Linked DNA regions of Mus musculus. The protein of the gene in region 5 interacts with the protein of the main gene of each other region in a pairwise test. Links are inferred from orthologs where the notes say so. Each region holds a gene or a part of one and is shown on either strand. Other genes may lie near its edges. The genes, in order: Adgrg7, Marchf2, Mall, Pln, Ldlrad1, Vti1b and Bnip3l.

Region 1 (3,500 bases), on a different chromosome or scaffold from region 5:
TAGTGTTCTGTAAATACCAATCCTATCTGATTTCTCATGTCTTAATTTTCCAGTAACAATGTTCATCACCAAATGTTCCAATTTATTTTTACTTGAACAATTTAAATTTGATTAGGACTGAAACAATTCTTCCCTTTGTCTTTTCTGGGACACAACATAATGTTCAAGAATTTTTTTCATAACAAATCACTCTGATTACTTTCCTTTAAATACTGTTAAAGTAGCTAGGAGATTTTCTTCTGTGCCAATGTGTTCAAGGCTATTTCCCATATTCTCTTCTATTAGATTCAGTGTATTTGGTTTTATGTTGAAGTCCTTGATCCACTTGGACTTGAGCTTTGTGCAGGGTGATAAATATGGATCTATTTGCATTCTTCTACATGCTGACTTCCAGTCAGACCAGCACCATTTGGTGAAAATGCTTTCTTTTTTTCCACTGTATGATTTTGGCTTCTTTGTCAAAAATCAAGTGTCCATAGGTGGGTGGGTTTATTTCTGGGTCTTCAATTCTATTATACTGATCAACCTGTTTGACTCTATACTAACACAATGCAACTTTTTGTTTTTATGGTTTTGTTGTTTGTTTGTTTTGAGACAGGGTTTCTCTGTGTAGCCCTAGCTGTCCTGGAACTCACTCTGTAGACCAGGCTGGCCTCGAACTCAGGAATCCACCTGCCTCTGCCTCCCAAGTGCTGGGATTAAAGGCGTGCACCACCACACCTGGCTACAATGCAGTTTTTATCACTATTGTTCTGTAGTGCAGCTTGGAGGTCAGGGATGGTGATACCTCTAGAAGTTATTTTATTGTTCAGAATTGATATTTTTTCCATATGAAGTTGAAAATTGTTCTTTCCATGTCTGTGAAGAATTGTGTTGGAATTTTGATGGAGATTGCTTTTGGTAAGATGAACATTTTCACTATGTTAATCCTACCAATTCATCAGCATGGGAGATCTTTCCATCTTCTGAGGTCTTATCTGATTTCTTTCTTCAGGGACTTGAAGATTCTTTTCATACAGATCTTTCACATGCATGGTTAGAATTACACCAATATATTTTATATTATTTGTGACTATTATGAAGGGTGTCATTTCCTTAATTTCTTTCTCAGCCCATTTATCATTTGTATAAAGGAGGGCTACTGATTTCTTTGAGTTAATTTTATATCTGGCCACTTTGCTGAAATTGTTTATCAGCTGTAGGAGTTCTCCGGTAGAATTTTTGGGGTCGCTTATATATACTATCATATCATCTGTGAATGTCATATCATCTGTGAATGTCATATCATCTGTGAATGCTGATACCTTGACTTTCTTCCTTTCCAATTTGTATACCCTTGATCTCCTTCTGTTGTCTTATTGCTCTAGCTAGAATTTAAGTACTATATTGAATAGATAGGGAGAGAATGGGCAGCCTTGTCTTGTTCCTGATTTTAGTGAGATTGCTGTCCTGTCTGGCCTCAGTGGGAGAGGATGCACCTAATCCTATAGAGACTTGATGTCCCAGAGTAGAGGGATACCTGGTGGCACCCTCTCAGAGGCTATGAGAGACATCTCCTCAGAAGGATGTGGGCAAGAGTCTGTGAGGAGGCACTGTGAGGGAGGGCAACATTTGGGGATGGGAGGGATATAAATAAATAATTAATAAAAAAGTAGCTAGGAGATTAATTGCATATGTTCCAAATCTAGCATAAACTAATAAAGGGATGTTTTAAAAATTAAACCCTTTGATTTAGCTTATAATATGTCCAGTATACCCGTGTTGATCCCTCACTGGAGAGTCAGCTACTAGACAGAAAGAGTTCTTAGTGATTGCTCTATTTTTTCCCCTACCCTGAATGGTTAGACCTCCAATGGGTGTTTGTTGAAATTTCTAATTAAGTGTTGGTGCAAACACTTACCCCATCCAACTAATGAGATGAAGATAATGAAATGCCGAGGGAGAGGCTTCATGGTTCTTATCAGAAGGAAGTAGAGTTGTGTAGCACTGAGTCCATTCCAGGTGAATGTCACCAGCAGAAAGTAGTGGAGCAAGGCAGCAATGGCTGTGCATGAGGGATTCGGGGTTTCAATGGTGTCACTTTCTGGTATTTTGTTATTTTCAGGTTTAACATTGATGTCACTATCACTTGTCTTTAGGTTCTTATTGGAGTTTTCAATTCCAAACACAAAGAGGAGGTTAAAAATCAACATTGATGAACACAAACTGACCAACACCCAGGTTACTGAGGTTTTTCTGATTTTCCTAAAAATTAAAAGTAAAAATAAAATAAAATAAAATAAAATAATTAAATATGAATAACCAAGTAAAATCACAGAAACTGCAAAGCATCATCAACTGAGACAGGCTAGGCTGACTCCATGACAGGCTTCTTCAAGTTGGCAGTTCAGGAGACCAGGCCTAAATCTCTATTCCCAAGAACTGGGCAAGTCCAGTCAAGCCCAGGCAAGTCAGGTACTGAAAAACCCAAAACAAACAAACAAACAAAACCATACAAAACAAAAACAAAACCTCAGGTTTCAGGCAGCCAGTCAGAAACTGCCCTGCCATCAGAAGCTGCCCTGCCACCTGGCCTACAAGAAGGACAATGGGTCAGCAGCAGTTTCCAGACTTCCCCAGCAATAGTTTCCAGTCCCCCACTCCCCACTAATGGTCCTGGAATGTCCCTAGAGTTAGAGCCAATAATTAAGATAGAGGTCACCTACCCCTTCCCTAGTGTGCTTTAAATCAGGTCTGTGAGCTCAGTGGGGGCATCTCTATCTTTGTAATGGGAGACGCTAGCATGCTGGACTTCTGCAGAATAAAACACTCTTTGCTTTTGCATACTATTTGAACCCAGGCTATTACAGAACATCATCAACAATATCAACAGCACCACCACCAATATCATCAGCAAATCAACAACATCAACACCATGAGGAACTGTATAAAGGGCTGTGGTATTAGGAAGGTTGAGAAGCACTGTCCTAGAGGGACGCCCCAGAGGGCTCATCCCAGCTATTTTCCCAACTCCATCTCCTGAAATAGCTCAGCAAGACCAGACCAGCCCCATAAAGCCCCTAACTCATGAGAGATAATACTTTACGCCATTGAGCTCGAGCATGTGCAAACATATACAAAGGCTATGTACAGAAGAATGTCTACATGGCATTTCTACCTGAAAACAGAAAATTTTGCATTAATAGGTGAACCCATGTTTGAATGTAGAGAAATCTCTGTTTGTAGCCAATATTTATTTTTAAACATCATTTGTAAATTTTAAGTTAATGCCAAATATAATTTTAAAAGTTCATAATAGAACAATGATACGTTTTTTAAAAGTTTATTTTGCTTATGTTTCAAAGAGTAAATACTCCACAAACCTGTAAATTAGGCAAAGTGTTTTACATTACTACTGATGCTATTTTTCTTAGTAGGCAGATGGTTACTGCCTTTTTGATGTTAGAACATAATCATATTTCTTTTCTGTAAGTCAGCTTAGAATTCTTTTTCCAAATGGT
Region 2 (3,500 bases), on a different chromosome or scaffold from region 5:
GCTCAGCTCCTCCAGCCCCATGTCTGCCTAGACATTGCTATGCTCCTACCTTGATGATAATGGACGAACCTTTGAACCTTTGAACCTGTGAGCCAACCCCAATTAAATGCTGTCCTTTATAAGAGTTGCCTTGGTCATGGTGTCTTTTCACAGCAGTAAGACCCTAACTAAGATGCTGAATACCCATGTTCCTGTAAGTAACCACATACCCAGGCTCTATAAGCAAGTCCCATACACTCATTGGTCCCCACAGGCCCACAAGGAGTGACACTTTTAGGTAATGTGGCCTTGTTGGAGTAGGTCTGTGTATGTAAAAGCCAGAGGTCAACATCAGGTGATATTCCTCAGGGGATGTCCACCATGGTTTTTTTTTTAAGTCTCTAATTGGCCTAGGACTCACTAATTAAGGTAGCTTGGCTCACCAGAGAGCTCCAGAGATCTGCTTGTCTCTGGCTCCCTAGTACTGGGATTACAAACCCAGGCTACAATGCTCAGTTTCTTACATAGATTGTAGGCATGGACCTCAGGTCTTCAAGCTTGCACAGCAAGCATTTTATGAACTGAACCATCTCCCTAGCTCCACTGATAAACAAACACCCCAGTTACTTGGATGTACATGTGTCTGTGTGTGTGTGTGTGTGCTAATATATACATACTAATTACTATATATATGTGTTGTATACATGCATATATATACATGCATACATATATATATATGTATATATATATATGTATATATATACACACACACTATTTTTTTGTCTTTGTACCCAAATAAAGGAGTACCCAAAGAGGTCAGAAGAGGGTGTTAGATCCCCTAGAAATGGAGTTACAGACAGTTATGAACTGTTCAATGTTGGTATTGGGAACTGAACTCCTAAAAGAGCAGCAGGTCCTTTTACCAATGAGCCATTCCTCCAACATCAGTATTTGGCTTTTTTTCTCTAGCATATTAACCTCTCTGACTCTCTCAAGTGATTGGACCTCCTGACCCTAGACTAGTAGAATATCATTCAACCCAGAGAGAAATGGGGACAAAAGCCTGGCTACTAATGGTCACTACTCACCTCTGTGAATCCAAAGCCCGGATGACAGTTGAGAGCAGCCGGCCATCCCGTGAAGTCACTTGTGCTACATATTGAGGTGGCCCAAGCCCTGTGGCCTCTACAACCTTGGAAAAGGCAGGGCTGCTCGAACAGTCACATAGGGAGCCAGGGAGGTGGCAACAGTCACCTGTCGTCATGGCCACAGGGAGCCTCCTGTCCTCAGGGCCTGAGGCCCATGGTCCCAGAAACCTGGGCGGGAGGGGGCAGAGAGATCAAAGGCAAAATTAGTGAGTCACAACAGCAGTTTTGTTTCCTCTTTTTTTTTTTTAAGGTATGTATGTGTTTATGTTCCTGTGCTTGCAAATATGTGTGTGAGAGTGCAAGTGAACATGTGCAAAGGTACATTAGTAGAGATCAGAGGCAGGAGAATACCCTTGTCTTCCACCTTGCCTGAGACAGAGTCTCTTCTTTGTGCTAGGTACACCAGACCAGCTCACACCCAGCTTCCAGAGATTCTCCTGTCCCCTCCTCCCACTTCACAGTATGAGGACTAGGACTGCACGGAAGGCTTATTGTGCCTTACTTTGCATGGGTTCAGGGGATGTAGACTAAAGTCCACACCTTCCTGTAGGGTGGGGTCCCCAGCCTGAGTCCCTCTTCTGATCTCACTGTTTTACTTAATGTTTATCTGTATAGGTATTTTGCCTGCACATCTGTCTGTAGACTACTGCCTGGTGCCTGCAGAGACCTCCTGAAACTGGAGTACCCATGGTTGCTAGCCACCATGTGGTTGCTGGGAATTGAATCCAGGTCCTAAGGAAGAGCAACCAGTGCTCTTAACCTCCAAGCCATCGCCATAGCCTCTGAGCTCGTTCTGTAGTGTAGACTAGCCTGGAACTGAATATCTCAGCCTTCTGAATGCTAGATTACAGATCACGCCTGGCTCTTGAGTCCTGTCTTGTCAGAGATTGTGAAGATTATTTACCTGTCAAACTGACACACTCAAGACTCACCTGGGAAGGGGCTCTCAATGAGGAATGTCTAGACTAGGTTGGGATATAACCACGTGCCCATAGGAGACAATTTTTTTTCTTTTTAAATTATGTTTGTTTTGTGTGTAATATGTATATGTGTGTAGATGTATATGTTCCAGAGCATGCATGTGAGAGTCTGAAGATAGCTTGCAGAACTCAGTTCTCTTCTTCCACAATATGGGTCCTAGGGGTTGATCTCAAATCAAGGTTGAAGATCAGTTGCTCTGTCCCCGGTTCCCAAGGAGAGGCTACAGGAGATAATGAACACCTTAGGTAGCCATTCTCGTCTGCCTTGGGTAGCTTTGGTGGGATTCTGCTCTCTGAAACATCTGGAGTCTCTCCTATCTAGGGATTTTCTTAATTGGTTACTTGAGGTGGGAAGACCCACCCTGGATGTAGGTAGGCTACACACTGGACTGAACAAAAAGGGCAGAGTGAGCTGGGCACTAGCCTACATACATTGTTCTCTGTTCCTGATTATAGATATGATATGATGAATGCTCTCTAGCTCTTGCCACTGTGACTTCTCTGAAGTGATAGCCTGGAACTGTGAGCTAAAATAAATCCTTTCCTCTCCTCTGTGATGGTTTATATATGCTCAGCCCCGGGAATAGCATTATTAGAAGGTGTGGCCCTGTTGGAGTAGGTGTGGCCCTGTTGGATTAGGTGTGGACTTGTTGGAGTAGGTGTGTCACTGTGGGTGTGGGCTTTAATACCCTCATCCTAGCTGCCTGTAAGTCAGTATTCTCCTAGCAGCCTTCAGATGAAGATGCAGGGCTCTCAGCTCATCTTGCACCATGCCTGCCTGGATGCTGCCATGCTCCCACCTTGATAATAATGGACTGAACCTCTGAACCTGTCAGCCAGCCCCAATTAAGCATTGTTCTTTATATGACTTGCCTTGGTCATGGTATCTGTTCACAGCAGTAAAACTGTAAGACATCCTTTAAGTTGCTTTTGCCCTGGTATTTTATCAGGGCAACAGAAATAACACTAAAACAGAACTCAAAGACTATGGGCAAAGACTTGACTCTTTGAATCTTTGCATTTGTAAAATGTAGGTAGGTGAGAACTCTACAAGTTGATGTATACAACTTAGGCAGGCGTAGAAGACAGCTGGGCTTGTGTTGGATTTTCTCTCATTCTTCTAGAAAAAGGCAGGCATGGCCCCACTTCAAATTCCTACAAAACCAGTCTCCAAATCACATTTTCACATAGAGGAACATTGATTGAAAGTGACTGCACACCTGTGTGCCATGCCCTTTGCTCAGTTTTTTACACAGCCAGAATCACCCTATTCTAGCGAAAACCGGATCCTTGAAACTGAGCTCAAAACATATTAAGCTATCGTTAGTGAAAGCAGAATGCATCTAGAGAGGCTCAAGCATGAGTCAGAGGTAGAGTACCTACCAAGAATCCA
Region 3 (4,180 bases), on a different chromosome or scaffold from region 5:
CCTGTTAGAACCATCACTATCACAAAATAAAACATTTTAAATGTGAATTTTAATGCTGAAGATTGGGAGGGAAAGCACTGTGGGCAACAAAGGTCACTGGAGTAGGCTACTGGGAGCCTGAACCACCTTTGCTGTCATCTCCAAGAACCACCAAAAGCTAGAGCCACCTCCAAGGTGGCTCATGGCTAGCAAGGGAGAGCTTGTCTGATGTGATCTGACAATGGATCTGCTCACTCTTGGTTTCCATGTGGTGCTCCACACATGCATACACACGCGCGTACACACACACACACACACACACACACACACACACACACTCACATACACATGGTGGTTAGGAGAGGTCACTGTAGACACCATGTGTCTATGTCACCCTACTGAAGAATCACTGCATCCTAGTACTTGGGCTCTGCTTTCTGTGCTCTGCACAAGTGTCCTGGTCTCCCTGCTTTCTAATGCCTTCTATACAGACTTTTGTCTCAGACCAGAGGGCTAAGGGTCAGGGGTCCCTGGAGGCATGGTGCTTTTACACTGCCCCAGTGGACAGTGGAGGGAGAAGACATCAGAGCAGCAGAGCCAAAGAAGGGCCTGGGACAAACTGATTCAGCACCCAGAACAGCTTCCCAGCTTCTTCTGCCCATGACATCAAAATCTGATCTTTTCCCTTCCTTTCCCATGCTCCATACAGGCACACACATTATCCTGGAGTTCTTCTATGCATGCTCATAGCAGGTACAAGAAGCATGTGCAGAATAATGCACTCAACACACACACTCAGATACAGATATTTTACACACACACACACACACTCAGATACATTCATACATACACACACACTCACACACACACTCACACACATGTTCACACACAGACTCACCCATGCACACAGACCCCCCCTCACTTGCATATGCACACACACACACACACACACACACACACACACACACACACAGATGATGCATGTGCTCCGTCTGTGAACACAATTCTGCATTTTCTAAGTTTTCATCAATGAATGAAGATGACTTCCAAATGAAAACTAGAGTTACAGCGAGCAAACACAGACAGGGCTAACTGCAACAAGGGTCTGTCACAGCCGGCCGGCCAGTGCTTTCTCCAAAATACCAAGATGGAGGCAGAGGAACCGCCCCTGACTGAAGGGGAAAGGACAGCCAACACAATCAGGAGTTTTGACCTGGCTCCTGGGCTAGGGAAAGGATATTAGTGGGGAAATGAGCAAATAGAACAACAATGGTCAATGGCAGAGTGCTAACTTTAACTTCCTGGTTTGGAGAGCCCTGTGGGGTTCCGAGTGAGGAGCAGACTTCCTATGCTGCCGCTATGGCTTTAGGAGAAATCTAAAACTATTTAAAAATAAGTCAAGAAAATCAAATCAATGACAATGACCTCATCCCCTCAAAGTCCCAGGACACCATGAAAGTACTTTTCCAGGAATCCAACTGCAGGGGACAACTGTCAGCACCTCTAGTGACAACTCTCTACCTGGCTGCTCTCCTGCCTCAGGAATCCAGCCTTCTTCCAGGGAGTGACAGGCCTAGACCCCTCCCTCCTCTGGCCAGGACAGTGTGCTGCATTCTAAAAAATGCCCCCAAACCTCTCTCCAGCCACAGAGACCCCTGGGAGGTAGCCACTCCTCTGATGATGATTTGCGTGACTGGCAAGCTCAATAGAATGTGGCAGAGCCATCCTGTCACCCATGCGACTGTTCCAAAGTGAGGCCCACACCCAGGGCCTGGCACACAGCTCAGGATCTGATCAGCTTGGCTGGATGCCCACGTTTGTGGGGGACTGGTGCTAGAAGAAACCTGCCTCTTAGGTGGAGTCTCTATCAAGGCCACCCACCTGTGGGACCCACAAGGACGCTTCCCAAGAATGGCTGTTGTTTAAGCAATTTGCCTAAAGGTCACTCAATGGGACCTAACCTTCCATGAAGACCAGAAGGGAAAGCGTTGGCCACACCCATTTTATGTAACCTGTCCTACTCCAAGTCTTCCTCCCCGCCCAGAGGCAGCATGGTCAAATTCAGGGCTAGGAAGAAAATTTCACCCACAAACTAGATATTACAGGAGGCGTGGCAGGGAGTAGGGGAGGTGGATAGTAGCAGGAGCCAGCTGAGGAAATACTGAATGCATTGCCGAGTGCTGGCAGGGTTCAGCGCCTAGTTCTGCTCTGCCGTGTCCCAGAGTCGGGCAGCAACAAGTTTCCCAGAGTCACCTGGGCGGTTCAGATTGTTTTATGGACGATGCTGTCATGAGCTCCCTTCGGCAGGGAACACACGTAAATCAAAGTTCAAAGTCAGCTGATGTGATTTGAGAAAATACTGGGAGACCTTCTTTCAGAAGGCCCTTTAGAGAGACCCCTAGTTCTTTGAACTTTAGTAAAGTACAAACAGCTAGGGGGAAAGAAACCAGGCAGTAGAAGTTTCTTAGAGGTCTGGATAGTCTAGAAGGTGGCTGGACCCCTCCAGCAAGAAAGTGGCCTGGGGATTAGCTCCTCATCCTTTGGGAAAGAGGAAAACTTGCTCTAGAGGAACCCAGCCTGGGAAACCCACAGGGAAAGAGGGAGCCTGAAGTTAACTGCCAGCGAGGTTCCCTGCCGGGTCTGCCCCTCCCTCCCCGCAGGTGGGGGCAGTCAACTCACCAGCTCCGGTAGGAAGAAGGCAAAGGGGATGGTGAGGAACAAGGCGGCGACCCCCGAGGGCACGTCAGGCGGGGCGTAGCTGGTGGCCGGCGGTGTGTCCCGGGAGGCCATGCTGTCACCTCTGCTGGCGTCTTTACTCCGTAGCACTCGCCTGCGCCCGCAGCTGTTCAAGAATCACCTCCCGCCCGACAGACAGACACACCCATCGGTCGGAGGGACGTCGCCTGGGAGGGGAAAAGAAAGGTTCCAGTAGAGCGGGGGCCCTTCTGTGCACTGTGCTAGCCAGGAGAGGGGACAGGACCAGCCTCGCAGAGGGTCTTTCTAGACTTTCCCTGCTAAGGAACTTTGAATGCTGGAGCAAAGGACTCCAGAAGAGATGAAAGGAACAGCTTTGTATGTATGCTCCTGGTGATCTCTATGCTCAGAGTGTAAGCAAGGGCTCTTTTGCTAAGATAAAGATTGTTTACTGAGGACCTACTGTGTGGTTAGCCACCTTCAGACACTTCTGAAGTTCAGATAGACCACCACCACGTGGCTTTGTTGTACCTTTCCAGTTAAGGTCACAGAGTGGTCACAAAAGCAGCATCTGCTTTTGTCCTCAGAGTCTAAATGAAGGATTGGAGCAGCCTGGTTTTCACCTCCCTCCTCAGGTACTCTGAGTCCCTCTTGGGTCCTCCTCTCACTGTCGTTCTAGTCCAGCTAGGACACAGGGTTGGGACCAGGCAGTTCCTTCCTGCTTAGAGCCTGGGGCTGGCTGCTTGGCTGTGCTTCCAGACCCAAAGCTCTTCCTTTCACACAACGCCAGGCAGGGCTGGAGACTGGGCCACCTTCTTCTTTAACAACCCACTAACCTTGGTTTGTTTTCCCACCGCCCTGAGGGAAGGCCTGGCGCCCCAGAGCCTTCTTCCTCCCCTCTTCGGCTCCAGCAGGCCAGTTGAAAAGCCTCCTCAGGAGTAGGAGAGGAGGCATGGAAGAGTTGTCCCAAGGACTGGGGGATGTCCTGCACAAGAGCCCTGTGTCTTGTTCCTTAGCAACAGCAGGGAATTCCAGGGCCTGTCCTGGGCAAGGTGGGAGGAGTAGCTGGTTCGCTCTGCCTGGTCTGGAGCAGCCAGCAGAGTCTGGATACATGAAGCTTGAAGCCAAGGCATTGCAGGGAAAGGCAAAGATCTTCCCAGCAAGCTTCCAGACAGCCTGTCCTCAACCTTTTCCAAGTCCTAGAGCGTATAGTTCACAAGCTCAGGCCCCCACACTGCTGACAGAATGGATCCAAAGCCACCCACCTTTTCTGAATGTCACACACAAGTGCTATGTCTCTCTTTGGGGCTGTGGCCCCCTTGGATGTGACCATAATCTACATGGGGCGTCAGGGAAGATGGGGCAGGGTAAGAGGTACACACAGGTTCCAGGGATTGAGCCCAGCCACCAGGCTTGAGGGACGGTGCCTTTACCTGATAAGCCATCTCACTGGCCTGGAAAGTATCAATTCTGAGTAGACTGTGACGTTAACTATGCACACTGTACT
Region 4 (4,150 bases), on a different chromosome or scaffold from region 5:
ACTTTACTTTTACGTGGTAAATATGTCCTTAAATAATATTTATAGACTTTCTTTGATAAAATATTTTCCAGTTAGTTTTAGCTAACATTTTAAGCAACAGGAGATTTGCTCTAGAGAAGTGTTTCATCTTGCTTTGCAAGAAGGCAAGATCATATCCATTTAAGGACTTCAGTGAGCAGCTGCAGGCACACAGTTTTCATACTCACAGGAAAGAGGGAGGCTGATTTTACTCTACTATACACTAAGAATTACGCATAGGTTCTCTAAAGCTAAACAGTGAAACTGAAAAATCAGGGTCCACACATGTGCTGATTTACATACATGTAATATAAAAACAGTGAAGCACGGTAGGAGACAGCAGGACGTGCTCGGCTCTGCAGCATGGCTCAGTTCTACTCAAAGTCAGTCCAGACCTACTGTGGTGGCATTCTAAAATTTTTCTCACATTTCAGACAAAAAAAAATGCTACATTAGGTGAAAAACTTTCAGAAATAAATACTGGACACTTATTTCATCTCTTGGAGACCTGGTCAGCACCGCCACACTGCCATACAGCTGACAGAAACCTGCAGCTCATCTTTTCTAGAAAAGCTACTCCTGACACTAGGTCAGCTTACTAAAAACCTATTTGGTTTCTGTGGTAATACAATGTAGCTATAGAAAACTCTTAAGGCCTTAAACGTATAAAGTGCATCTTTCTGGGGAATAATACATAGCTATTGAAATACAGATTCATTTCTCAGAGCACGGGTGAAAACCTTAACTGAAGAAAATGTAAGTTGAATGTATTTGCTCCTCTAACTATAAATTTCTTTTTCAAAACACAAAGTATTGACCTAGTTTTCTTTTATGCATTCATTCTCTTACCTAGACAGCAATACCTAGACAGATGTGAAACACAAACATAAATAAGACAAGGAAAGGCATCAAATATCACCTGAGAATGTTTGCTGCTCTGACAAGCAAGGCTCTGCGAGGGCAGCTCCATTAACCCTGCCTCTGTTGAGCCTACATTATCCCTCCCAAGCTACCTGCATTCCTTCACAACTATGTTAGCTCTTCCACTCCAACAGCAGTGTGTAACTATCTCCAAGTCTGACGACTTATAACTCTTTAAGGAAAGCTACCTACTATAAAGCAGTATCTTCAAACTTACTTTATTCTCAGTTATCTGTTATACACATTTTTAAGTTAAAAACTAAAAGCAAAGCACAAAGTGTTAATGGCATTTCCAAACCTAACATAAAATAAGTTCTAAGGTTTGGTTGTGATAAGAACATGGCTAACCAATCACATGTTAGAATTCCTACGTGATGTCATAAGACCTCCCTAGAATCCTTTTTCTCCTCCACCTACTGCAGCTGCTCCCATAAACCTGGGAACAGAAAACTGCCCAGCTAAGCTCCCATAAGACTTCATACAGCTTCATGCTCTGCACTGTGACGATCACCGAAGCCAAGGTAAGACGTGAGATCATTGACTTTGGACATTCTTACTTTCTGATATTCAATCTTATTAAACTCTTAAAAGAATTCTAACTCCCAAATTCCAATTCAAAGCTACATAATAAAAGAACCTGCTATGACAAAATGCTTAATTTCTAAATAAATTCTTACCCATTTACTGACAGTGAAAATTAGACAACTTTAAAAGAGATTCTATTCATCTTTAAATTTTGATTACTAGGTTTTTTTGGGTTTTCACATATGAACTCCCAATTTAACCCCCCATTATATTAGCATATATGGTAGGAGAGGTATATTAATTTTCATACAAAAGCAATGGTTTCATGTGCTATGTGTTGCTTGTTAAAACACAGTGCAGGACGAGGCCACTTATTTACAGCTGGGGCACAGCTTATTTTCAGCTTATTTATAACTGAAGGGTATGCACACTGTGAGTACACTTATTTGACGACATTACTGTAGTTCTTAAGGTGATACAATAAAAGAGATTTTTAAGAACAGATAGTAGGAACTACTTTTCAAATGCTCTTGAAGACTGTTACTCTCTAAAATTCCAGTCAACCTTTAAACACTTCTAGAACTTTTATTTTAATGAAAATAGCTTGTTTTAGTTTGAAGCTATAAAGAACAAGTTAGATAGTTTTAAAACAAGCACATGTCTTTATTAAGTGACAGAAAATAATTCAACATTTTTAAAAGTAAAAAGGACATTTTAGCATACAAACATTTCTCAAGAAATTTAATAAGTGTATATTCCTCTAACAACAGAGTACATTTATCAAGTTTTTATTCTCCAGTGTTCTTAAGTTTCCTGCTGTGAATTTAGAAGTAAAACAAAATATTCAGGAAATTGATATGCAACAAAAACTTTATTATTGCTATTTGTTAAAATCTCAATCTACTAAGTAAAATATTTTCTCACTATTAAATCCAATAGATCACATAGAAAATAAACAGATTTTTATTTTACTATTTATATTCCTATCATATTTAAATGCTAAATAAAACTTACCTCTACAATTCTCAATTCCTATAATTCTAACTCTGCTGCTTATGACAAACACAGCTGTCTCCTACACAACATTCTTGTCATGTAAAAACATTTTTAGTATGTGCTTTAACTCCAAGGAACACTGGTCTCTCAATAATTTTGTAACCCTAAAAATATTTTTTCTTTGATATTATACAAATTACACTTGGTGCCAAGTTTATTTGTCATATTTCTGCTATTTTTATTTATCTATCCACTGTGTTGCTGGGGGACTAGGGAAGAGAGTGAGAGAGAGAGAGAGAGAGAGAGAAAGAGAGAGAGAGAGAGAGAGAGTGTCATTGCATGTCTGTGAAGGTCAGAAGAGTTTGTAGGAGTCAGTTCTTTCTTCCCACCATGTAGGTCTCAGGAGTCAAGCTTGGGTCGTCAGGCTTGGCAGCAAGTGCCTTACCTACTGAGCCCTTTCCCCGGTCCCTGAAGGTTTACCTTAATGCCTATCCAATAGCATTCTCAAACTTGAACAGTGTGTGCAAAAGTTTTTTTCAGTGGAGTAAGGGGTAGGTAATGAGTTTCTTTCCACCAGAATTTCCTTATATCACAATTAGTTACAAAAAAAAGGAAGCAACTTCTAGAAAAAAATATAAATTCTGCTATAGAAAGCATCTTTAGCAGATTAAGCAGATGCTGCCTGTAGTTAAAATTTTCAATATAAAGCACAGTTTCTACATAGCTTTATGGTGACATTGAAGTATTTTGTTTATAAAGGTACATGCTTTAAAAGTAAGCACAAAAAAGGATAAAATCAATGAAGAAATGTAACAGATACACTAAAAAAGAATGAGATGATTTGCTTTGCCAAAAGGAGTTGCCGCAGTGTCATTTCCTAAAGCAAATCAAAATTGTTTTTAGAATATTTTAGTAGACATAGAGGAAAATTGCTGCATTTGGGTCATTATTAACAAATATTGTTTCTTAATCTCACCAATTTATCAAGACATAATATTTGCATTGGCTATAGAATTCAAAGTATATATTAAAACATCAAGTGAGGATGATTAAAGTATAGATCACTGCTATAAATTACACAGCATAAGCACATTTTTTCTGAAGAACATTTTCCTAAGTGCACTTACACACAGACACTCCCTCTTAATTCTTTGTATGCATCTCTACATCATCATTTGGAGAACAGATTTTAAAACAAGTGAGCTCTGTGAAGTTCACAGAGCTACAAGCAAATAGGAGACCTTGTGGGAGAGGCCATTTGCACCTCTGATCCCGTTCAGTGATGAGCATGGTTAAGATACATCATCATCCTGACAAGGTACAGAAAAAGAAAAGCAAATGCAAAATGCTGTGAATGGTCATTTTCTGAGAAAATGAGGATGCAAACTACTGCTAACTAAAAAGCATTCCTCTGTTTCATTTAAATCCATCAAGTGTTGGATCTGTACTATTCTGTATGATATTCTAAACATTATCTTCAAAGTCAGGCATAAAGTTACTGATGTCCTTAGTTTTTAAGCAGTAAATTCTAGTCAGCAAAGTTCAAAATAATCACATAGACATGAACATACCAGAATCAAATTAAAATATACAATCATTAAGTTTGCTCTATTGATAAAAAATATACCTCCAATCCATTTAAGCTTGTTATCTAAAAATCAGACTGATTTTTCCATAACTCTGAACAAAG
Region 5 (3,500 bases):
CGCCACTGGGTCCACACTCCAGCTCCTATCCCATGCGCTACTCCAGCATGACAAGTGACTGTCCAGCCTCTGCTTAAGTGTTTCCAGGATGGGGAGCCCACTACCTGAGGCTGGCCTGGGTTTGTGTGAATTTGGGTCACCCTGTCCACAACTTCCTGGGGCCCATGTGTAAGAAATCCAGTTCTACCTGCTATGTCCTGATGAGCTGAGGCTTCCTGGAGATTGAAGGTGGAAGGTTAGCAGAGGTGACAAGGGGGACTGCTGCAGTGAGTATGTACACAATGCTGAGGGTGGGGACATACAAGGGGTGCTCTCAGGGACCCCTTGTCACCCCACAAAGGTTGCACAGAGTAAGAACACTCCACTCTTTGGAACTGATCTCCTTCCTGGAAGACCTCCAGAATGAATGGGGAGATCCTGCAGTAGGACAGGGTGATCCAGCTGCAGGCAACTGAGGTACTGTGGTCAGAGGTGAGTTTGTCTTGCCCCATTTGTCCCTGTATAGGAGATGTGCCCCAGAGCCTCCCCAGCTTCCTCCTGACCACCTGTGGAGACCCAGACTCCTGGATCTACTCAGACCAGAAATGTGATGGCGTCAACAACTGTGGAGACTGCTCAGATGAGCTGAGCCCAGGTGGGGGTCTGGCCACAGGCGGGCAGCAGCCAAGGGCATGGTCCCCTGCATGCTGTCCCTGCATCCTGGGAAGAAAATTTCCCCTCCTACTTGAACATGTCTGGCTAGAGGTGCTTGCTGTGAGAGGCTCTTCTGTGGAGGATGCTATCTTCAGGGCATTGACTGGACACTAGGACCCAGGGGGTGACTGAGCAAAGAGAGTGCCCAGCCTTTCTGGATCTGAGCCTTCTGTCCTAGGCATCTCCTAATAGCCTTAAGAGGAGCGCAGGGCAGGACTTGCTGGCCCAGTTCATATGTGGACAATCCCAAGCACCAAGAAGGGAGCAGATAGCTACGGGAAGGGAGTATAGAGTGAAGGACCTCCTTAGACATCCTTACATTCTTTCCCCAGCACTGGGGAGATGCTCGGTCAGTGTTGCTGCATCGCATCAGGACCTAACTCAATGCCCATGGTAGAAAGGGAGAACCAGCCACAGGTTCCTAACTTCCCCATGCCGCGAGTGTACCATGTCAGGTGCACACTCCCACACACAATAAATAAATAAATATAATACAGAAATGAAAGGTAAGGAGCTAAAGATGCAGCTCAGGTGGTAGAGCAGCTCCCTAGTGTGCCCTGGGTGGATCCTCGGCACGGCATAAATGAGCTACACATTTCTATAACCCCAATACTCCGAGAGTAGAGGCAGGAAGGTCAAAAGTTCAAGGTCATCATTGGCCTCATAGATGAAGGGCAGCCTGAGACTCTATCTCAAAAGACAAAAGGTGAAGGACAATCAAGGAAGACACTGTAGACCTTAAGCCTCCACACAAGTGCACATATATGTGTCCATGCACTCATATGTGTACATGCCTGTGTGGGCACACATGCACACACATTCTATGCCCGGTGTTAAGTCAACAGAGATGTTCTGAGCACTGCTGAGGTGGCCTGTGCCAGATTCTGCAAGGGAGAGTCAGGAGTCAGACCCATCCCCAGGACCACACCATGCTGGTGCCAAGAGGAAGTACTGGGACCTTGAAGAATCTACCAGATACCTCAGAAAAGGCATCACAGAGCATGCCATAGAGAACAGGGGCCAACAGTCAGGACTGGTGTGTAGAGAGGAATGGGGAGCCACGGATATAGGACAGGGGACAGAGGAGTAAGGCACCCCCAGAGTATCCAAAGGATTGCTCATGGTGGGAGTGAGAGTGGGGCAGGAAGCTGGGCTGGGTGGTGCAGCATCTCCACATCCATTAATTCCCGAACACTGTCAGGCTTCTTCTACTGAACCACTGAGGCTTAGCCGGGCGAGCAGGTCACACAGCCTGTGTACGACCTGTGAGGCTGCAATTCTCTCTGCTGCAGGGAAAGCCCACACAGTCACCCACACTAGATGGCCTAAGGCTGCAGGAACTAGGCGTGTTGCAGATCTAGAGAGCACCCTCTTATCTGGAGAACCCAGGGTCAACAGCTGCTTCTTGCACTGTCTCTTGTCTCCCCAGTGACTACGTGCCCGCCCTGTGGCCCTGGGTGGTGGCGCTGCTCGCCAACTGTGTTCAAGTACTGCAGCTGTGTCCCGAGGGATCTGTGCCGGGACAGCGTGCAGCACTGCTCTGACTGGTCAGATGAGTACTCCTGTCCTGGACCCTGAGTGAGCCTCCCTCCATAGCATGGAAGCTGACACCCAGATCCTTTCACCAGAGCACCAAACCCTGGACCGCAAGGGTGGGAAGAAACTTTTGCCATCTCCCAGTGGTACCGGCCCCTGTTGTCTCTGAACAGGAATTGTCTTTCCTCTTTTCAAGTGTCTCAGCCTCCACTTGAGCACGTCAATGACAGGGAGCTCACCACCATGTTAGGCACTCTAATAAGACGAGGTGTCTGACTCCATCACTTTAGGCCTGTCTATGGCATCACATAGAGGAGACATGCTCTTTGACTCCAGAGCAGGCCTGAATTTCCGATCTTGTCATCCCTTGAAGAGACAGATAAATGTGTGGCTTAAATGCCAAGTGAGTTTAGCCCCATGGGGTAGAAAACAAGGCACACACATTTCCCGTCATTCCCCACCTAAGGCAGAAACTGCTGAGTTCAAGGCCGTTGTAACTTGTTGCTCAACTCCCCAGCAGCCTCGACTGATCACATGAGGTTGCATATGGCACTTGGGACCTAGTATCTTTCTAGTTTCCCAGTCTCTTGGAGGCTTGCGGCTATAGAATAGAAGACCCAGAGAAAGCACAGCTTAGAAGAACCCCTCAATGCTTTTAGCCTGAGCCTCAGCCCTGCTTCACCCCACAGTCACCTGCAGGTTTATATTTTGGTCCTGAAGCCAGAACGCCATTCCCCTGCGTCCCTTGTATCCCTTCTATCTTCCTAACACCCAGGCAGGCAAGGATAGGGGTTCTCATTAGACAGATGGGGAAACCGAGGCCCAGGGGATGACTCGCCCAGGGTGGACCCTGTGAGGTTTGAAAATGGCATCCAAGGAGCAGCCAGGCCCTGGCCATTCATTTGTTCTTTCACCACTTGTGTATTTCTTCACCCATTTCTGAGCTGAACTGAGCTGAGCTGAGCTGGGAGCTGAGGGGTGGAGCTTGGGGGAATGGGCCCCTAGAGAAGAGGCCTGGGTCCTGGCACATGAGCAGTAGGGGGTCTTATAGAGAGCCCACCTCACGCCATGTAAGGATGAGTGAGACAGTAGAACTGTGGGGTCCCCTTAAGGGGATGGTCAGTCTCAGCAATCCCTCTTCAGTTGGGTTTCTTTGTAGAAGGTGGGGGCTCTTTTCAGGAGGAGGGCATTCATGCTTGGCCCATATGAGACATGTAACAGTTCTGATTAAGCCATGGGTTATTCAGTAGGTGGGAGGGGCCAAAGCATGG
Region 6 (3,471 bases), on a different chromosome or scaffold from region 5:
TGCCTGGGTGTTTTGTTGTTGAAGTTACTTTTGTGTCCCTGTTTGTGGAGTGGGGAGTACATGTGGAAATCAGTGGACAACTTGCTGGCCTGGCTCTCTCAATCTCACATGGGGCCCAAGGTTCAAACTCGGCTAATCAGGCTTGGCTGAGGCACTTCACCTACAGAGCCACCTTTCCAGACTGCAGAGGGCTTTCTGATTGTGGTCATTTTATATTGGAAAATGACTTGTTTTTATGAGGTGGAACAACCCTCACTGAAAGTGGCAGCCAGGGCATGTTCTAACGTCTTTTACCTTTTATTGTTCCAGGGTTGCTGTCAGCTCTGGATCTTGTTGAAGTCAATCCTCATTTGGCCACTTCTGAGGAAGAGGCCAAGGCAACAGCCAGACTAGCAGTGGATGTGATTGCTTCAAGTTTTGGTCAGACAAGAGAAGGAGGACACATTGTCTATGACCACCTTCCTACTCCTAGTTCACCACACGAATCAGAAAATGAAGAATGTGTGAGAATTTAGGAAATACTGTACTCTGGCACCTTTCACAACAGCATTACAGAGTTGCAAGGCATTCGAAGGGACAGATATGAAATGGCTGTCTGGATCAATATTGCCTTAATGAGAACATCTGTGCACTCTCACAACTGTAAAACTCCCTTCTCTATTTTGGTCACCAACACTATTACTGTAAATGTATTTTTTGTTGTTTTTGAAGTTTACAAGCTATTAATGTTATACATGTAAGTTTGAAGGAGTCATAAACAACATTTATTACCTTAGTATATCATACTGGTCTTGTTGCTGTTCCTTCACATTTTCGAGGTTTTCCATTGCCCTCCCTCCCATAGTCTGACAAGACAATACATTCTTGAACTGTTAGCCCACAGCAGCAACACATATTCCTATGTAAAACCATTCATTCAGAGTAAGATGCTGGTCCACAAGGCTTTCCCTACAGAAGTTCAATGGTGTCGAAAGAATTTGTAATACACCAGACCGACCAGGATGGCTAGCTCCAGCAAGATGATGACGGAGAGCAGCAACTTGTTGGTTATCACTCTACAAAGACAAGCAGAGTAAGTAGACATGAGTCTGGGCAATCTTATTTCTAGCTGTTTCTAATGCTAGACACAGTGAGGTAGATGGAGTTTGAGTTTGGCTACACAGCCACACAGCAGAAAGCACTGTCCTTTGGACAGTGACAATTCATGGTGCTCTTGGCTTAAGTGAGGGACAACACTGACTACATCACAAAAATGTGGGAAACAGGAATATAACACTAAAACGTAATGACTTCTTGACTCTAAAAATTCCTCTACTTGTCCTGCTGTTTTAAATATGGTCCTACCAGCCATACATACGCTACGGGTGCACTCTTTAGTGTCAAAGTCGATTAAGCTCACGGCCGGGTCCTGCTTGTAGGATGAGGAACTAGTGGCCTTGAGATCTGCTTTTCAGTGTCTTGTAAACTTCTCCCTTCTTACTCTTCCCTATTTCTCCCTCTGCTCTACTACCTCAACAGTCACTCGCCAAAAAGTTTACTTCAGGTTATCATCTCGTTTCTCCTTACTTTAAGGAATTATTAGTGTTTGGGGGAAATCTTCTCCCACTGCTTGTTCTATGAATGGATTTCTGAAGCTCTTGTTAGCTCACATGCACCAAGGACACGCCACACTAGGTACCCAGCTTAGCCCAAATGGCACCATCTCCCTTCGGCCTTTTTTTTTTTTTAACTACAGTTAGGAGTTACCTCAAGGTTGGTTTTTTTGTTTAGTTTTTTTAAAATTAGTGAACACAGGTATGTGCATCCTACACAGTTCACTTGTGGCAGTCAGAGGACAGCTTTGGGGATGGCGCTCTCCTATCAATCGTCAGGCTCATGCCACAACCGCTTTTACCTCCCGCTAGCTTGTTTTTGTTCTTTTAAAATACTTCTTGCTAACAAGACAGGACTCCCAAAAAAGGCCTGCCATAAAAGGCAAGAACTAAGTACTATCCGTGCTCCCACACCGGGTGTTCATAAACATGTTCCCGGGAGCAGAAAAGCTCTATTGGTTCCTTAGGTCCCCTCTAAGAGAGAGAAACTGGGACTGACATTGTTCAGCAGACAGGTTTCCCACTATTTATGTTGGAACAATCTATGAATTTACCAATCTCCTGAGATATGTAACATACAGACTATGTTGTCCTTTGCTGTTGAGTGACTTCGGGGCAGGGAGCAGGGCTTGGGGAGCACCAAGGTGATTTACCAGGACATTTGTTAAGTCACTGGTTTAAGCTTTCTTAGTTGAAATACATTAAATGTCAAGAATTTGTGGGGGTTTTTGAAACTTACTTTCTGGACATTGAGCGAAGAATCTTCCGGCTTTTGCTCAAATTTTCATTTGTATTTACCAGCTGGAAGAGAAAATAATAGGTCATCTCCTAATCCTTTCCAAAAAAAAAAAATCTATAGAACTTGAACATGGGCATTAAAAAGGTCTTTGTTAAGACACAAAGAATCAAATGAATTTAATAGCTTATATCTAAGCTATTAAGTATAAGTAAAGGAACCTAGAAAAGTCAAGGTGTTTGGGTGCTCATTAAGGAGGGAAGCACTATATCTCATTGTTCCTATAGGCATGGGCGGCTGTGAGGTCACTAATCCTTCACCTTGGCTATTCAGATAGGAAAGCGACAGGCATGGTAGCATGGTGGCGCACACTTTTAATCCCAGAAACAGGCTTGGCAAGTTGAAGCCAGCCTGGTCTACAGAGAGTTCCAGGACAGCCAGAGCTACATGAGACCCAGCCTCAGGAAAAGAACAAAAAAAAAAAAAAAAAAAAGGGAGGCGGGGAGGAGAATAGTGCCACAGTTTTAAAACCAAGCCTTTCTGACTGCCATATAGGCTATAAGGTTTTACCTATGCTGGGCCAGTGACTGCAGGGCAACCTATGATTTGAATCTTATCACTTAAATACTTGGAGAGCCTCCTGAGTTGGTATTTGCTTGTGTTTTTAAGGGTTTACTTTTATGTGTATGAGTGTTTGCTTGAATGTATGTATGTGCACCGCATGGATATGTGGTGTCCTCAGAAGTCAAAAGAGGGCATCGAATCCCCTGGAACTGGAGACATGGTTGTGAGCTGTCATGAATAGGAAAACAGAGCTGGAGAGGTGACCCAACACATAAAACCACTTGCTGCTGTGCTGGGCAGTGGTGTTGCATGCCTTTAATCCCAGCACTTGGGAGGCAGAGGCAGGCAGATTTCTGAGTTTGAGGCCAGCCTGGTCTACAAAGTGAGTTCCAGGACAGCCAGGGATACACAGAGAAACCCTGTCTCAGGAAACCAAAAGAAAAAAATAAAAGAAAAAGAAAAAAAGGCACTTGCTGCTTGTCCAGAGGACCTGAGTTTATTGCCGGGATGGGTATGGCAGTTTACAAGCATAACTCCAGTCCCAGGAAATCTGATGTCTCTGGCTTCCTTAGGCACCAG
Region 7 (4,011 bases), on a different chromosome or scaffold from region 5:
TGTGAACGAGCTGTCATGTGGGTGTTTTGAACCAAACCTGAGTCCTTTGCAAGAGCAGCCAGTGTGCTTAACCCCCCAAGCTATCCCTCCAGATCATGTTTTTGGATGTCAATTCAAAGTGACAAAGACTTATTGTGTGTGCCTGTATTTATGATTTAGAGGGGGAGGGCATATGCCACGGTGCATTGGTGGAGGTCAGAAGGCAACTTTGTTAGCTTTCTTCCCATCTACCGGGAGCTCCGGGCAATGAACTCAGTCTGCAGGTTTACTCAGCAAGCGCCTTTACCGGCAGAACCATCTCACTGGCTGGTCCTAGATTTAGTATTTCCGTGTTTGGGTATCTCAGACCATATTTTTAAAAAAGACAATTACATGAAAATTCAACAACTGCAATTAAAGCAAAGTTAAAAGGCAAGTACAATATTGAGAAAAACATTATACAAAAATCGGGTCAAGGAAACTTGACAAAGATACGACGTAGGAGTATTTAGGAACATTAACAGAGTCAGCAACCAGCGTACAGGAGGTAGGGCATTTACAGAGATAGATAACAACCAGGGTTTGGGTAAATCTGTATTTTCTTTTCCCTTTTAATTTGTTTTTGAAGGCAATGGGTCGCTCGATAGCGTAGGCTGCAGGGAACTCGAAATCCTCCTGCCTCAGTCTTAGAAAGAGCTGAAATAACAAGTGTGCGCCACGCCCAGCCATTGATTTTTTTTTTAAACCGTGATTACATGTTACCTTTGCAATTAAAATGTTATAAATTCCAACAAGGTGATTAGCTCCAAGGTACCTCCCACGGTATTCTGTGGGAGGCACAAATGGATGTTTCACTAAGGGGAGGAACTGGGGTTTTCTGCTTCTTTAAAGCCACGGGTGAGTTCTTAAGTGGATACTGCAGGCGTGGGAGGGGTTCCATTCAGGCCCCGCGCGCTTCCGGGCTGCACACTCCTCCCTAATCTCAATCCAATGCCAACTTCCTAGCTCAGCCCTTCCGGCTATTGCGACTGACTCGCAGGAATTCTTTCCTGGCGCCCGTATCAGCTCGACTTCCGCACCCGCACGTCCCGAGCAGCTCGCGAATGCCCCGCCCAGCCCGGCCTGGTCACGCCCCCTATCCTGGGCTCCGACCCCGCCGTCCAGCTGCCTGTGTTGTCATCACATGGTCCGGGAGGGCCCTGACGTCACGAAGGGAGGGACTGCGCAGACGCAGAAAAGGGGGCGGGGGAACTCGACTTGTTGTGTTGCTGCTCGAGAGCCGGATACTGTCGTCCTGCGGCCGTGCCGCTTCCAGTCTCCAGACCATGTCTCACTTAGTCGAGCCGCCGCCGCCCTTGCACAACAACAACAACAACTGCGAGGAAGGGGAGCAGCCCCTGCCGCCGCCCGCTGGCCTCAACAGTGAGCACGGGGCCGCCGGGCTCAGCGGAGGGATGGGGGAGGAGGAGCCGCTCGGCCGCCGCCGTGCGGGCGGGGGGGGGGGGTTGGTGGTGGTGGTGGGGGAGTGGGCGGGAGCAGACGACAGCTCATTGGTTGGGACCGAGATTGTGCGTATGACTGACAGCGGCGCGCTCCGGTTAGGAGCAGGCGCTCGGCGCTGGCTCGCGGCCTGCGCCTTGGGCGCCGAGGTTTAGGGTCGCGGTGGGCGTCGGGAGCCGGAGGCGCACGCAACTCGGGGTGGCAAGCGGAGGCTGGCCAGCGGAGGGGGAGCATGGGACGTGCGGCGGGGACACCGGGGGATGGACGCGACCGGTCGGGCGTGGCGGGTGGACGTGCGGCCGCGCAGGTGTGCTTGCGGAGCTCGCCTCCTACCACACGCCGGTCCAGGGGGTCATCGGAGTTTCGTGCAGGGTGCTTGCTCCGCCCCTGACATTTATCTTTTTTTTTTTTTTTAGTCTGAAAATTCCCAAGTTTCTCAAGTGAGTTTTTTGTTGCTGTTAACCTTGAATTCATATTTTACTGCTTTTTCTTTTCTTTTTCTTTCTTTTTTTTTTTTTTTGAGAGAGCTTCTCATGTAGCCCAGGCTGGCCTCACTCGTTGTGTTGCTGAGTGACCTGATCCCTCCTACTTTCCACTTTCCCAAGTTCTTGGGTGACAGGCGGCAGCCACCATACTAGTAACTTTTCAAGTGCTGTTTCTTATGTTAAATGGATTGGGTGCCCAGCACATGCCCTAGGATCACGTCCATTTCAGCCAAATCTGCAGTGAACTTCAGGAAATACAGTAAACAACACAACAGACGCAGGCCACAGGTACTAGCAATTGAAAGTTGATGGTCAGGATCCAGTTGCAGTCAAACAGACATCTTGTCCCCAGAGTGTCCGCTGTTGTTGTGAGATCGCCGGACCTTCTTGCCCAACCTTTCTGTTTGGATTTCATGTCTTAATGAAAGAGGTAGTGGGTGGTGGTAGTTGTCACAGGGCCAGATGAAGTTCTTTAAAAGCCATTTGTATGCTTAAAGGTCAGGCAGTGTCTTTCATAAGAGGGATGGCTTCCAGGGTGGCCAGAACGGTTTAGGGAAGAGCTGTTACTGAGTCTAGAGGATAGTGGCAGGAGCGTTTGGGTATTTTAGCCAGGTGTGGTGCCACTTGCCTGTCATTCAAGCACTAGGGAAGTGTAGTAAGCGTGGTCCCCAGAATAAAACTTTGTGTCAGAAAACAACAAAACCAAAAAATAAGGAACAAAGAATTCAGGAATTTTAAGACTCTGTCCCTGCCCCATATTTTGATAAGCAATATTTGATAACTTCTCTAAAATGCCGGCTTTTACAAAGATCTAGTCAAGTGTGTCCTTAAATTTTACTCATAATCACATAATTCAGAATTTAAAATTTTTACCCATCTTTAGCATACATTTTTGGAAATGAAAAGACTAAAGAAATACATGCTTCATGTTATTTCCAGAAGCTGTGGCTCTTTTTTGAGGCCCATGGGTGCTTTCGGGAGCCTTCCCTTGTTTTTGGCATGCTTATATATGAGTATCTTCCGCCTGGGCCTTTATGAGTTAGTTGTGCTCAGCGTCTTCTTACTGCTTAGATGTCTGGAAAATTCAAAGGGATTTTCATTTTTCTTGGATTCTTTATTAACAACAGAACTGAAAAGGGTTGAGCTATGTTTGTTTATTCCTAAGTCTCACAGACCTGGGAGGTGTTTGTCATGGACCAGCCAGCTTCTTCCTTAGTTTTCTCAATGGCTCTTGGAGACCCTCCAGCCTATAGATGATACCAGATGTTACTTTGGGAAATCTGCTAGATAAAAAGTATTGTACTTGGGCTAATTAAGCTGTACTTTTAAAAGTTACTGAAAGCTCGATGGTGCCAGGTTTAATTATTGTCCTTGCCTCTTACTTTGCTTGCTTTGTTGTTGTTGTTGTTGTTTTGTTTTGTTTTGTTTTTTTTTTCGAGACAAGGTTTCTCTGTGTAGCCCTGGCGGTCCTGGAACTCACTCTGTAGACCAAGCTGACCTCAGCACTTGGGAGGCAGAGGCAGAGGCAGAGAGATCTGCCTGCCTCTGCCTCCCAAGTGCTAGGATTAAAGGGGTGTGCCACCACTGCCTGGCCTTTGTTTGCTTTTTAAAGTTTAGTACACAACCCTGGATTGAACAAAACAAACTTTATTGATTCTTCCAAGTGATTTTTTTTTTTTTTTTTTTTGGATGAGCAAAACAACTTACTCAGACATCTAAAACCATCCTAATTGCTGATAACTCTAAGCACTTTGCTGGCCGCAGTTCCACAACTGTGGAAAACAGCAGCTGAAACACATACAGATTATCTCTGGCTTGGGATTTTTATCTTTAGTTCAAGGATCATGGCAGAGGGTTTGTCTGTCCGTTTTAATGTGTATGGGTGTGCCTGCATATATGTATGTGCACCATGTGCATACCTGGTGCCTATGAGGCCAGAAGAGGACATCAAATCTCCTGGAACAGAAGTACAGATGGTTGTGCGCCTCCAAGTCATGCTGGGAATCCAACCCAGGTCCTCTGGAAGAGCAGATACTGCTCTTAATTG

Evidence for each region.
Region 1: the proteins of Ldlrad1 (region 5) and Adgrg7 interact in binary tests that used the Homo sapiens proteins (3 or more experiments, as listed by UniProt). The two-hybrid records come from large-scale screens. The link is inferred for Mus musculus from reciprocal best matches to the Homo sapiens genes LDLRAD1 and ADGRG7.
Region 2: the proteins of Ldlrad1 (region 5) and Marchf2 interact in binary tests that used the Homo sapiens proteins (3 or more experiments, as listed by UniProt). The two-hybrid records come from large-scale screens. The link is inferred for Mus musculus from reciprocal best matches to the Homo sapiens genes LDLRAD1 and MARCHF2.
Region 3: the proteins of Ldlrad1 (region 5) and Mall interact in binary tests that used the Homo sapiens proteins (3 or more experiments, as listed by UniProt). The two-hybrid records come from large-scale screens. The link is inferred for Mus musculus from reciprocal best matches to the Homo sapiens genes LDLRAD1 and MALL.
Region 4: the proteins of Ldlrad1 (region 5) and Pln interact in binary tests that used the Homo sapiens proteins (3 or more experiments, as listed by UniProt). The link is inferred for Mus musculus from reciprocal best matches to the Homo sapiens genes LDLRAD1 and PLN.
Region 6: the proteins of Ldlrad1 (region 5) and Vti1b interact in binary tests that used the Homo sapiens proteins (3 or more experiments, as listed by UniProt). The two-hybrid records come from large-scale screens. The link is inferred for Mus musculus from reciprocal best matches to the Homo sapiens genes LDLRAD1 and VTI1B.
Region 7: the proteins of Ldlrad1 (region 5) and Bnip3l interact in binary tests that used the Homo sapiens proteins (3 or more experiments, as listed by UniProt). The two-hybrid records come from large-scale screens. The link is inferred for Mus musculus from reciprocal best matches to the Homo sapiens genes LDLRAD1 and BNIP3L.

What each region holds. Positions count from the first base shown.
Region 1 is NC_000082.6:56,740,359-56,743,858, forward strand, and holds part of Adgrg7 (adhesion G-protein coupled receptor G7 precursor), read right to left. Parts: intron 2,245-3,500; coding exon 1,901-2,244; intron 1-1,900. UniProt on the Homo sapiens protein: Orphan receptor.
Region 2 is NC_000083.6:33,708,678-33,712,177, forward strand, and holds part of Marchf2 (E3 ubiquitin-protein ligase MARCHF2), read right to left. Parts: intron 1,296-3,500; 5' UTR 1,244-1,295; coding exon 1,068-1,243; intron 1-1,067. UniProt on the Homo sapiens protein: E3 ubiquitin-protein ligase that may mediate ubiquitination of TFRC and CD86, and promote their subsequent endocytosis and sorting to lysosomes via multivesicular bodies.
Region 3 is NC_000068.7:127,727,098-127,731,277, forward strand, and holds the start of Mall (MAL-like protein), read right to left. Parts: upstream 2,801-4,180; 5' UTR 2,770-2,800; coding exon 2,659-2,769; intron 1-2,658.
Region 4 is NC_000076.6:53,336,336-53,340,485, forward strand, and holds the start of Pln (cardiac phospholamban), read left to right. Parts: upstream 1-1,350; 5' UTR 1,351-1,460; intron 1,461-4,150. UniProt on the Homo sapiens protein: Reversibly inhibits the activity of ATP2A2/SERCA2 in cardiac sarcoplasmic reticulum by decreasing the apparent affinity of the ATPase for Ca(2+).
Region 5 is NC_000070.6:107,215,644-107,219,143, forward strand, and holds part of Ldlrad1 (low-density lipoprotein receptor class A domain-containing protein 1), read left to right. Parts: exon of another isoform or gene 1-499; intron 500-505; coding exon 506-634; intron 635-2,122; coding exon 2,123-2,271; 3' UTR 2,272-3,500.
Region 6 is NC_000078.6:79,155,517-79,158,987, forward strand, and holds the end of Vti1b (vesicle transport through interaction with t-SNAREs homolog 1B), read right to left. Parts: intron 2,394-3,471; coding exon 2,332-2,393; intron 1,056-2,331; coding exon 959-1,055; 3' UTR 516-958; downstream 1-515. Other genes in the region: Arg2 (arginase-2, mitochondrial precursor), read left to right, coding at 310-515. UniProt on the Homo sapiens protein: V-SNARE that mediates vesicle transport pathways through interactions with t-SNAREs on the target membrane. These interactions are proposed to mediate aspects of the specificity of vesicle trafficking and to promote fusion of the lipid bilayers.
Region 7 is NC_000080.6:67,006,078-67,010,088, reverse strand, and holds the start of Bnip3l (BCL2/adenovirus E1B 19 kDa protein-interacting protein 3-like), read left to right. Parts: upstream 1-1,211; 5' UTR 1,212-1,304; coding exon 1,305-1,401; intron 1,402-1,900; exon of another isoform or gene 1,901-2,252; intron 2,253-4,011.